Xenopus tropicalis: one gene and its partner. The protein of the gene in region 1 interacts with the protein of each later gene in a biochemical or structural test. Links are inferred from orthologs where the notes say so. Each region holds a gene or a part of one and is shown in the gene's direction. Other genes may lie near its edges.

Region 1 (5,105 bases):
CGCCCCAAATACTTGACAGCGTTGTTGTAGTATTTTATCCCAACCACATGCAGAAAGACTTTAAACCTGTGACACCTTTGCTCACAGGTAAGCAGCAGTCAAAGTTGGGCAGTAAGGAAATGTATGCTAAGAGTGTTATAATGACAATTACACAAATGCATCACCTCTAAAGTCATGTATTGTAGAATGCTGCAGAATATGTTGGTGCTTTATTAATATGTAATAATAATAAAAATAATATCAGAGCCTGTTAAAGTGCTGTAGATTAGTGTCAGTTTATAGTATTACACATTTTAGGAAATGATGGTATCTGCTGCTTATGGAACTGTTATTGTCACTGATAGTATATCCCTGTGTCTGTATGTATATAATAATTCTACAATTGTTATTCTGTCCAACCAGTGCACCCTTCTTTTGCAACTACAATGAATTCTGGGACTTCAGTTATACTTGTTAACATTCTTTTGGCATATCTTTGTATATTTATCTAAGAATTTATGTGCTTTTAATACCCTAAATAACACTTTCTAGCCAGTGATAACCTATCAACTTCCCCTGACCTAGAGCAGTGTCACACAGTAACCACTTACCTGTTGCTATGTCTGGTTTCTTCAACATGGCAATGACAGTTGTGGCCAACCTGACACTCTCTTGCTAACACTGCACATTCACTCAACTGAAATATAAGTAACTATGCTGTGCAAGATTTTATCACTGCATAAGGACCTAACATTTCAGGGCACATCTACTAAGGGAATTATTGTGAATAAACAAATTACTGGGCCCTTCTAGCTTATGAACTTTCAGGATGATAATAAGGTGCAGCACTCTATACCCCTGAGCCCAAATCAGCTACTGAATCTGTTCTATTGTTATATTCTAGAATCTTTTCTATTGTTCTACCCCGGTTACTGGTTAAAGGGACATTACCTACCAGTTATTAAGTCAGACACCAATAGTTTAAACATAAGACACTGATGATTTTTATACATGATTTTCTTGCTTAGTCAAACAAGACTCACTCATATCTATGTTTAGTTCAAATATAACTATGGTTGTGTCTTTTTATAAACAGTTCTAAATGTACTTATATTTCTACTTATATGTTGCCTTTATTTTTAACTTGTACTTTAGTCTGGGCCCGCTGGGGGGACACTCCCACAGTGTGGGGACCGAAGAGCTTTCACTTACACCAAAACAAGCGAAGACCCAAGTGAACACCAGACCGTTTTATTCCCAATCAATCGCGCTCGGGTTCTCGGCAATACTAAGTTGTACAATAGCAAACAGGCCGATTTAGAGTCTGTAACACCGACTCAACTATTACGTAGGGCCCCTCAATGAATGGGGCCCTCTGCATTTTATTGCGTTGGCAGGCATTCATGAAGCACAAGGGTTAAGGTAAAACGAAAGCAAGTAGGGGGCAAAAGCACTGAAATCCACCCGGGCAGACCCACTAAAGCCTGGCTTTGTCCAGAGGAATTACTCCTTCTAAGATACCCATACACCTCTCCCAGCCTGCGCTAGCGCTTTAAGACCCCGGGGCCACTGCCTTCTCTTTTCTTTCTGCTCTTCTTTTCTCTCTTCCACATTCCCCACCTCTGAACCTTGTTGATTGACAAGAGAAAAGCTAAGGGGGAGGGGAGTGACCTGCCAAACTACCAATCCAAAGCCAAGGGGGGCGGTACATTACCTCCCAGTACGCCAATCGGCGTGACGGAAGGGGGGGCTAAGTCTCCATTCCGCGCTGTGTGCCAGCTCTGGAGAAGAGAGGGATAGACACAGGAGGGGAGGGAGGAAAGCAGAGTCTGAGCCCAAACAAAAGCAGGACACCGAGCTGTGTAGAACTTCCCTGGCCCGGTACAGACCCCACCCTCCCGCGGAACCGCCGTGCCTGGATACTGTACCTTTTCTTCTTGACTAGGACGGATTCCTGGCGCCCTGGGATTAACAGGAGGGAGCCACAACAAAGGCAGGAGAGAGAAGAACAATAAGAGTTCCCTGTGCGCTGCACAACACAGGCACAGGGTGCTGCAGAGCGGGGCTTGCTCCTGGAAATGGATGATCAGCCCAGGTTGATGCACAGCCACCCCGGGGTGGGGATGGCGGGACACCCCAGTCTGTCCCAACACATGCAGGATGGCACAGGAGCCAACGAAGGGGAGGGGGGCAGGAAGCAGGACATTGGGGATATATTACAGCAGATCATGACCATCACTGACCAGAGTCTGGATGAGGCACAGGCCAGGTGAGCTGGATCTTGCAAAGTGCTTCTTTCTCTCTTTTAGCAGCTTTAGGCTGGGACCCTGTGGGCATCAGGATACTATTTGTGAGCTTATACTTGTCATGTCCAGCCTGAGGCCCTCCACTTCTAACTGAGCAACAACTCACAGCATCCGGCTGTCAAGGGATGATGGGAGCTGTAGTTAATTGCTCCAGGGCCTCAGGGTGGACTTGCCTGATTTTTAGAATGGATGTGTGTATGAGGTTGGACCAGCAAACCACTTTTCCCCCATTAGCAAAGTAACTGCTACTGTTTATCAACCTTGTGTTATATGTGAACGTGTATCAGACAACGTGCACCATAGAGCTGACAATCTACCTCTGTACATGGTGCTTTGGTTTATATACTTTTTATTCTTAGTGCTGTATAAGTAATAAGGTTTACTGTGTGCAATCCATTTGCACGACAGTAAGTGTGTACAGTATATACCATGTACATGTGTGCGCTAAACTGTTACCCCTAAGCAGGAGGGTTGCATTGTCTTTCACTTTTCCATTTTTACGGCAACATTTTTAAACTGGTACTGACCCAGTGGGGTTTGAAAAACACCAAATTATGCAAAAAAAAATCTATTTATCAACAGTTTCTATCTAGATCTTTGATGTTTAGCTTGTGACCCTCCAGTTGTTGCTCTGTTATAACTTTCACATCAGCTGTCAAAAGGATTCTGGGAGCAGCAGGGGGGCTGCAGGTTGAACATCCCTGTCCTATATGTATGGTATATTCATTCCTTAGAGGAAAAAGAAACGGGCAGGAAGAAGTTCTCCATCTGTCAGGGAAGCACTAGAGATGTTGAGTTATCCTCTGGGCCTCAAAATACGTTGTACTGGCAGTTCCTGCATTCTAAAGATCTGTTTACAGTTGTTCATTGTGATTCACGCCATATAACTATATACTGCATTCTATAATACAGAGAGGGACTTTTATATGTCATAGGTGGGATAATAACCTCATGTACAGAACTCATGTCCAGGGCACACTCATTTACAAAACACACTGATTTTATGGGGACGGGCAGAGTTTTTGTATATAACATATTTTAATATACATCTCTACACATAATCATTAAAAGCATAGCTTCATTATATAAACTTTTTATGATGTTGGTTAATTAAATAAGAACAGAGGTTCTGTGAATGGGAGTAAACATGGATTTTTCTGCCAAGGAAGATTTTTAGTACATGGGAAATCCAAGCAATATAATTACCTTTGTTTTGTAAATCAGAGATTTAAATACATTACTTATTGCATGGACTACACTCTCCATCTAATAGGGTTGAATGACAGCATTAAATAAGCTTTGTAAGTTAATTGTTTGACACTTTCTTATATAGCTAAACAATATTTCCTTAGTAATGAGAATCAATGTAGAGGGTTTGCAGTGAATTCTCTGTTGTGCATTGAGAATTTATGAATGTTTCTTTTGGTTTCCTTCTACTTTTGCCTTTGTTCAGCATTTCTAAATATTTAAAGAAGGAGGAATCCCACAACACCTTTCTCCTATGGTATAAATTCAACATGTTAACCCCAATCGGGTAAATAGAAAAAAAGCAGGCTTTTCAAGAGAAACGTGCAGTTGGCGGAACTAAATTTGAAATTACAGCACTCCTTCAATTGGATTAAAGGGATTTTGGATGGCATTTATCTAAAATGTGTTGCTGTCGCAGAGAAATATTTCCCCTGTACATGTGCACATTGCATGTATATAATTTCAAGGCACATATACCATTTATAAATATATACATATTTAATATGTGTAAAAAAAAAAAAATATATATGTGCTGAAAACTTGCAGACTAAAATATACAATTGAAATTCTCTCGCAACATTGAAATTACAAAAGGTTGAAGTATGTAACAAAATGTACTTAGTAGTAAGAAGTGTATTTTTGCTTGACTTATACAAAGCAAGAGAGCAGACCTTTCAGAATCTGTTAATTGGACATGTCATGCCCAGCCGTTCCTTTGTCAGCGTATAGAGATTTGCAAAGCTACTATGAATAAACGTAAGTGTGGATCACTCTGCTTCAGTCCATTGTAGCCAAACAGCGATCTTTGCTTATTATCTATAGTATGCACTGTGGACTGACAAAGGCTGGTCAGGCCCCAGTGTGTCGTTTAGATGCCTATCTTCCACTGTGGCAATTTTAGCTCTAGGTATTTTAGTTTTATTGTATTCATCTTGCTGTTTAAATATAAAATAAATCCATATTTGTCTATATTCTGAGAGTTTTTTTGTATTTACATGTTTTTCTAATTTATGTTTTTATATATTTTATTTTTTTCAAGCAATTCGTTTTCCTTATCTGACAGGCAAAATATAGTAGTAATAAAATCTGGTTTGCCTGTTGGAACCCAAGCCCCACATTAATACAATTATAATTCCTTTGTATACTGTACTTGCTGCAGGACAGGCAGAAGTACACATATAATGTAAACTTCAGGCACTACACCTCCCACTTACCCACAACAGCATGTGGATTCTGGGAGATGTAGTTCTGCAACAGCTGGAAGGTCATGTCCCAGTAAAAGACGTCTATACATAAAGTGACAAATGTATGCAAGCCATAGTTTACAATCTTCCTGTATTCCGCTAGAATTGCATTATGGACACTCTTAAAGTATTAACAGCGCCCTGATGTAATTGAAACAGTATTTGATGTAACTAGAAGTATACATACAATGTACTAAATCTAAGTCTAAAGAACACTTGCAAGTCAGTAGCAATATAATTACTGTTTTTTTTTTTGTAGCTTAAATTTTATTTAAGAGAAAAATAAACATAACAGAGCAATATATGTGAGATTAATATAAAGGACACA
Region 2 (4,622 bases), on another chromosome or scaffold:
AGGCCTAAGGTAACCGGGCCTGCTGAGTAGGGATAGGCCTAAGGTAACCGGACCCGCTGAGTAGGGATAGGCCTAAGGTAACCGGACCTGCTGAGTAGGGATAGGCCTAAGGTAACCGGACCTGCTGAGTATTGATAGGCCTAAGGTAACCGGGCCTGCTGAGTAGGTATAGGCATAAGGTAACCGGACCCGCTGAGTAGGGATAGGCCTAAGGTAACCGGACCTGCTGAGTAGGGATAGGCCTAAGGTAACCGGGCCTGCTGAGTAGGGATAGGCCTAAGGTAACCGGACCCGCTGAGTAGGGATAGGCCTAAGGTAACCGGACCCGCTGAGTAGGGATAGGCCTAAGGTAACCGGGCCTGCTGAGTAGGTATAGGCATAAGGTAACCGGACCCGCTGAGTAGGGATAGGCCTAAGGTAACCGGACCTGCTGAGTAGGGATAGGCCTAAGGTAACCGGGCCTGCTGAGTAGGGATAGGCCTAAGGTAACCGGACCCGCTGAGTAGGGATAGGCCTAAGGTAACCGGACCTGCTGAGTAGGGATAGGCCTAAGGTAACCAAACCCGCTGAGTAGGGATAGGCCTAAGGTAACCGGACCTGCTGAGTAGGGATCAACTATTATTTTAGGACACACAGTGGGTCCTTTGACCATGAGAAACCCAGTCATAGAATGTTCTTTACTTTCCTTTTGGGAGAAACTCGGGTTCAGCCTGAGGGGTCTCAGGGATGGGACAGAGAGTTCTCCCCCCCCCAATGTACAATAGAGGGTGGAGTTTAAAGAACATGTAAACCCCCCACACACAAATATTTTAACAGTGAAAAGCCTCCTTGAAATCTTTCAATACCTGCCCCACTGGGTGCCCAGAGGTTAATAGAAAGGCTGCAACATCCCCTTAATCACTTAGATTTCCTTCTCTTCCTGTAACCCACTCGCCCCCCCCTCAGGAATTTGCTATGACTTCTGGCTTGTGGGCATGCTCAGTTGTTCTAAGCTCAGATTACTAAACACCCCCCCCAGCCTAGCAGCCAATGATGAGATGGCATTTGCTGGTTACCATAGAAACTCAGTTCTAGTTGTCTGCTTCAATTTTTTTCTCCTAACCTCCTCTCCTGAGCTCAGCTCAAACAAAGCAGAACTTTTATCAGAGACAGTTGTGCCTGTGTAAGCCTGCATTGTTGATGAAATGTACGCTGAATAAGAGTCTGTGTGTGTGTAGGCTGTTTGCAGATTTAAATGTATTTGATTATGTATCAGAGGGAAAATGGCCGCCGGGTGAAAGCTGCTATTTGCTTTAGGAACATGTGATGGTGCTGCAAGGGGAGGGGATATATGCAGTACTAATGGTGCCGTTTGGGTGGGGGAGACGTGCCCAACTGATATACACTGTAGGCAAATGTAGGCTTTACATGGCCTTTAATGTCAGTTCTGCCTATATTTACCTGTACAGGTTACAGGGCCCCATTCTGCAGAGGAACACAGCCATGCAGGAGCAGTGGGGATAGAGAAGCTGAGAGGTTCAAGGCGAGTGTGACGGCACAAGCACAAACGTGAGTCTCCTGGGAAAGGGGGGAGCCCATAGAGTTGGGGTGCTACTGGTTTTACCTTGATTGGTTACTTCTTGCCCTATGGCTGTTCCCTCTAGCTCAAATGCTGTGATTGGCTATTTCCTGCAGCCATTTGTATTTCCTACTGACTGGCTACATGTTTGTTTCATTACTGTGGAAGTTGTGAAGCTCTAATTGGCTCGCTCTGTGTGGGCGTCACCATTTCCCTATAAAGGCCAAGCTAAAGCTCTCTTTTTTTTTTTTATTTGTGTTTTTGTAATTATTTCACTTTTTGTTCAGCAAGTCTGGCATTTCAGCAATTACCTCTGACTCCTCCGTTCCCTTCTGGTTATTGCCCCACTCACATTCAGCATTAGTGCAGGGAACCAACTTCAAAACATTTTATTTTGTCATTTTTATGAATTCCCTCTCCTGTGAGCCGCGAGGTATCTCGTTACAATAGGTGCATGCTTCACTCGCCGTGTGATGGGTTTCTTGGTGTTAATTGCCCCCATTGTAAATTGTGAACATGAATAACAGCCCTATAGATTCTTTCCCCACACAGATACTGGCTCAGGAGCCCAGGCCCACAGTCACCGTGATGTGAAAGGCCAAGGCGCAGGGCATCATGATGTCTGCTGAGAGACTGGACATGGACAATTACTCAGAGGAACAGCAGGTATTTCCTCCCTAATTCCTGTGCATGAATGGATGGGGTGTGGGTGCCTGTATATAAATGGGTGGGGGCATGGCTGCCTGTGTATAAAAGGTTTTGGTATGGCTGCCTGTGTATAAATGGGTGGGCCATGGCTGCCTGTGTATAAATGGGTGGGCCATGGCTGCCTGTATATAAATGGGTGGGGGCATGGCTGCCTGTGTATAAATGGGTGGGGGCATGGCTGCCTGTGTATAAATGGGTGGGCCATGGCTGCCTGTATATAAATGGGTGGGGGCATGGCTGCCTGTGTATAAATGGGTGGGGGCATGGCTGCCTGTGTATAAATGGGTGGGCCATGGCTGCCTGTATATAAATGGGTGGGGGCATGGCTGCCTGTGTATAAATGGGTGGGGGCATGGCTGCCTGTGTATAAATGGGTGGGCCATGGCTGCCTGTATATAAATGGGTGGGGGCATGGCTGCCTGTGTATAAATGGGTGGGGGCATGGCTGCCTGTGTATAAATGGGTGGGCCATGGCTGCCTGTGTATAAATGGGTGGGCCATGGCTGCCTGTGCATGAATGGATGGGGTGTGGGTGCCTGTATATAAATGGGTGGGGGCATGGCTGCCTGTGCATGAATGGATGGGGTGTGGCTGCCTGTGTATAAATGGGTGGGCCATGGCTGCCTGTGTATAAATGGGTGGGCCATGGCTGCCTGTGTATAAATGGGTGGGCCATGCCTGCCTATGTATAAATGGGTGGGCCATGGCTGCCTGTGTATAAATGGGTGGGCCACGGCTGCCTGTGTATAAATGGGTGGGCCATGGCTGCCTGTGTATAAATGGGTGGGCCATGGCTGCCTGTGTATAAATGGGTGGGCCATGGCTGCCTGTGTATAAATGGGTGGGCCATGGCTGCCTGTGTATAAATGGGTGGGCCACGACTGGCTGTGGAAGTGAGTGCCTGTGTAAGAATAGGTGGGGGTGTTGGTGCCTGTGGGTGGTTATAGGAAGAATATGTGTAACCCTGTCCCTCACTGCATGTCTTTTAGTTACAAGTCATCACTCAGTTTAAGACTGAGGAAGACCCTGTGTGTGTCAATCCGTCTGACCCATCCCCTGCGTCTGGGGAGAATCCTATGGAGGCGGATAAACAGTCCATATACAGGTGGGTGGTCCTTACGCACCCTCCCGTCATGTGTTTAGCGACTCTGGCTACTGGCTGTGTGTCTCACTGACCCCATTCTCTCCCCCCAGGCACCCACTCTTCCCCCTTCTTGCTCTGCTCTTTGAGAAATGTGAAGGCTGCACACAGGGGGCCGAAGGCACAACCTCCGCCAGCTTTGACTTGGATATTGAGACATTCGTCAGGCGCCATCACAAGGAGGGCAAGGATTTCTTCTCCGATGACCCAGAGACTGACAGCCTGGTGTGTCTCTGTGTGTTACTGGGTGTCTCTGTGTTACTGGGTGTCTCTGTGTTACTGGGTGTCTCTGTGTTACGGTGTGTCTCTGTGTTACTGGGTGTCTCTGTGTTACTGGGTGTCTCTGTGTTACTGGGTGTCTCTGTGTTACGGTGTGTCTCTGTGTTACTGGGTGTCTCTGTGTTACTGGGTGTCTCTGTGTTACTGGGTGTCTCTGTGTTATTGGGTGTCTCTGTGTTACTGGGTGTCTCTGTGTTATTGGGTGTCTCTGTGTTACTGGGTGTCTCTGTGTTACTGGGTGTCTCTGTGTTACTGGGTGTCTCTGTGTTACTGGGTGTCTCTGTGTTACTGGGTGTCTCTGTGTTACTGGGTGTCTCTGTGTTACGGTGTGTCTCTGTGTTACGGTGTGTCTCTGTGTTACTGGGTGTCTCTGTGTTACTGGGTGTCTCTTTGTGTCTGGGTGTCTCTATATTACTGGGTGTCTCTGTTTGTGTCTGTGTGTCTTTGTGTGTGTCTGGGTGTCTCTGTGTTACTGGGTGTCTCTGTGTTACGGTGTGTCTCTGTGTTACTGGGTGTCTCTGTGTTACTGGGTGTCTCTGTGTTACTGGGTGTCTCTGTGTTACTGGGTGTCTGTGTTACTGTGTGTCTCTGTGTGTGTCTGGGTGTCTCTGTGTTACTGGGTGTCTCTGTGTTACTGGGTGTCTCTGTTACTGGGTGTCTCTGTGTTACTGGGTGTCTCTGTGTTACTGGGTGTCTCTGTGTGTGTCTGGGTGTCTCTGTGTGTGTCTGGGTGTCTCTGTGTGTGTCTGGGTGTCTCTGTGTGTGTCTGGGTGTCTCTGTGTGTGTCTGGGTGTCTCTGTGTTACTGGGTGTCTCTGTGTGTGTCTGGGTGTCTCTGTGTTACTGGGTCTCTGTGTGTGTCTGTGTTACTGTGTGCACCCCCAGCCTATAGCAATGCAGTTACAGCTGCTGGTACCAAGTGCATATACAGACGCTG

What was found.
Region 2: the proteins of pbx1 (region 1) and pknox1 form a complex in vitro, tested with the Homo sapiens proteins (2 studies listed by BioGRID). The link is inferred for Xenopus tropicalis from reciprocal best matches to the Homo sapiens genes PBX1 and PKNOX1.

What each region holds. Positions count from the first base shown.
Region 1 is NC_030680.2:108,212,072-108,217,176, reverse strand, and holds the start of pbx1 (pre-B-cell leukemia transcription factor 1), read left to right. Parts: upstream 1-1,794; 5' UTR 1,795-2,057; coding exon 2,058-2,248; intron 2,249-5,105. UniProt on the Homo sapiens protein: Transcription factor which binds the DNA sequence 5'-TGATTGAT-3' as part of a heterodimer with HOX proteins such as HOXA1, HOXA5, HOXB7 and HOXB8. Binds to the DNA sequence 5'-TGATTGAC-3' in complex with a nuclear factor which is not a class I HOX protein.
Region 2 is NC_030678.2:312,504-317,125, reverse strand, and holds part of pknox1 (homeobox protein PKNOX1), read left to right. Parts: intron 1-1,448; 5' UTR 1,449-1,548; intron 1,549-2,093; exon of another isoform or gene 2,094-2,110; 5' UTR 2,111-2,173; coding exon 2,174-2,224; intron 2,225-3,255; coding exon 3,256-3,371; intron 3,372-3,460; coding exon 3,461-3,632; intron 3,633-4,622. UniProt on the Homo sapiens protein: Activates transcription in the presence of PBX1A and HOXA1.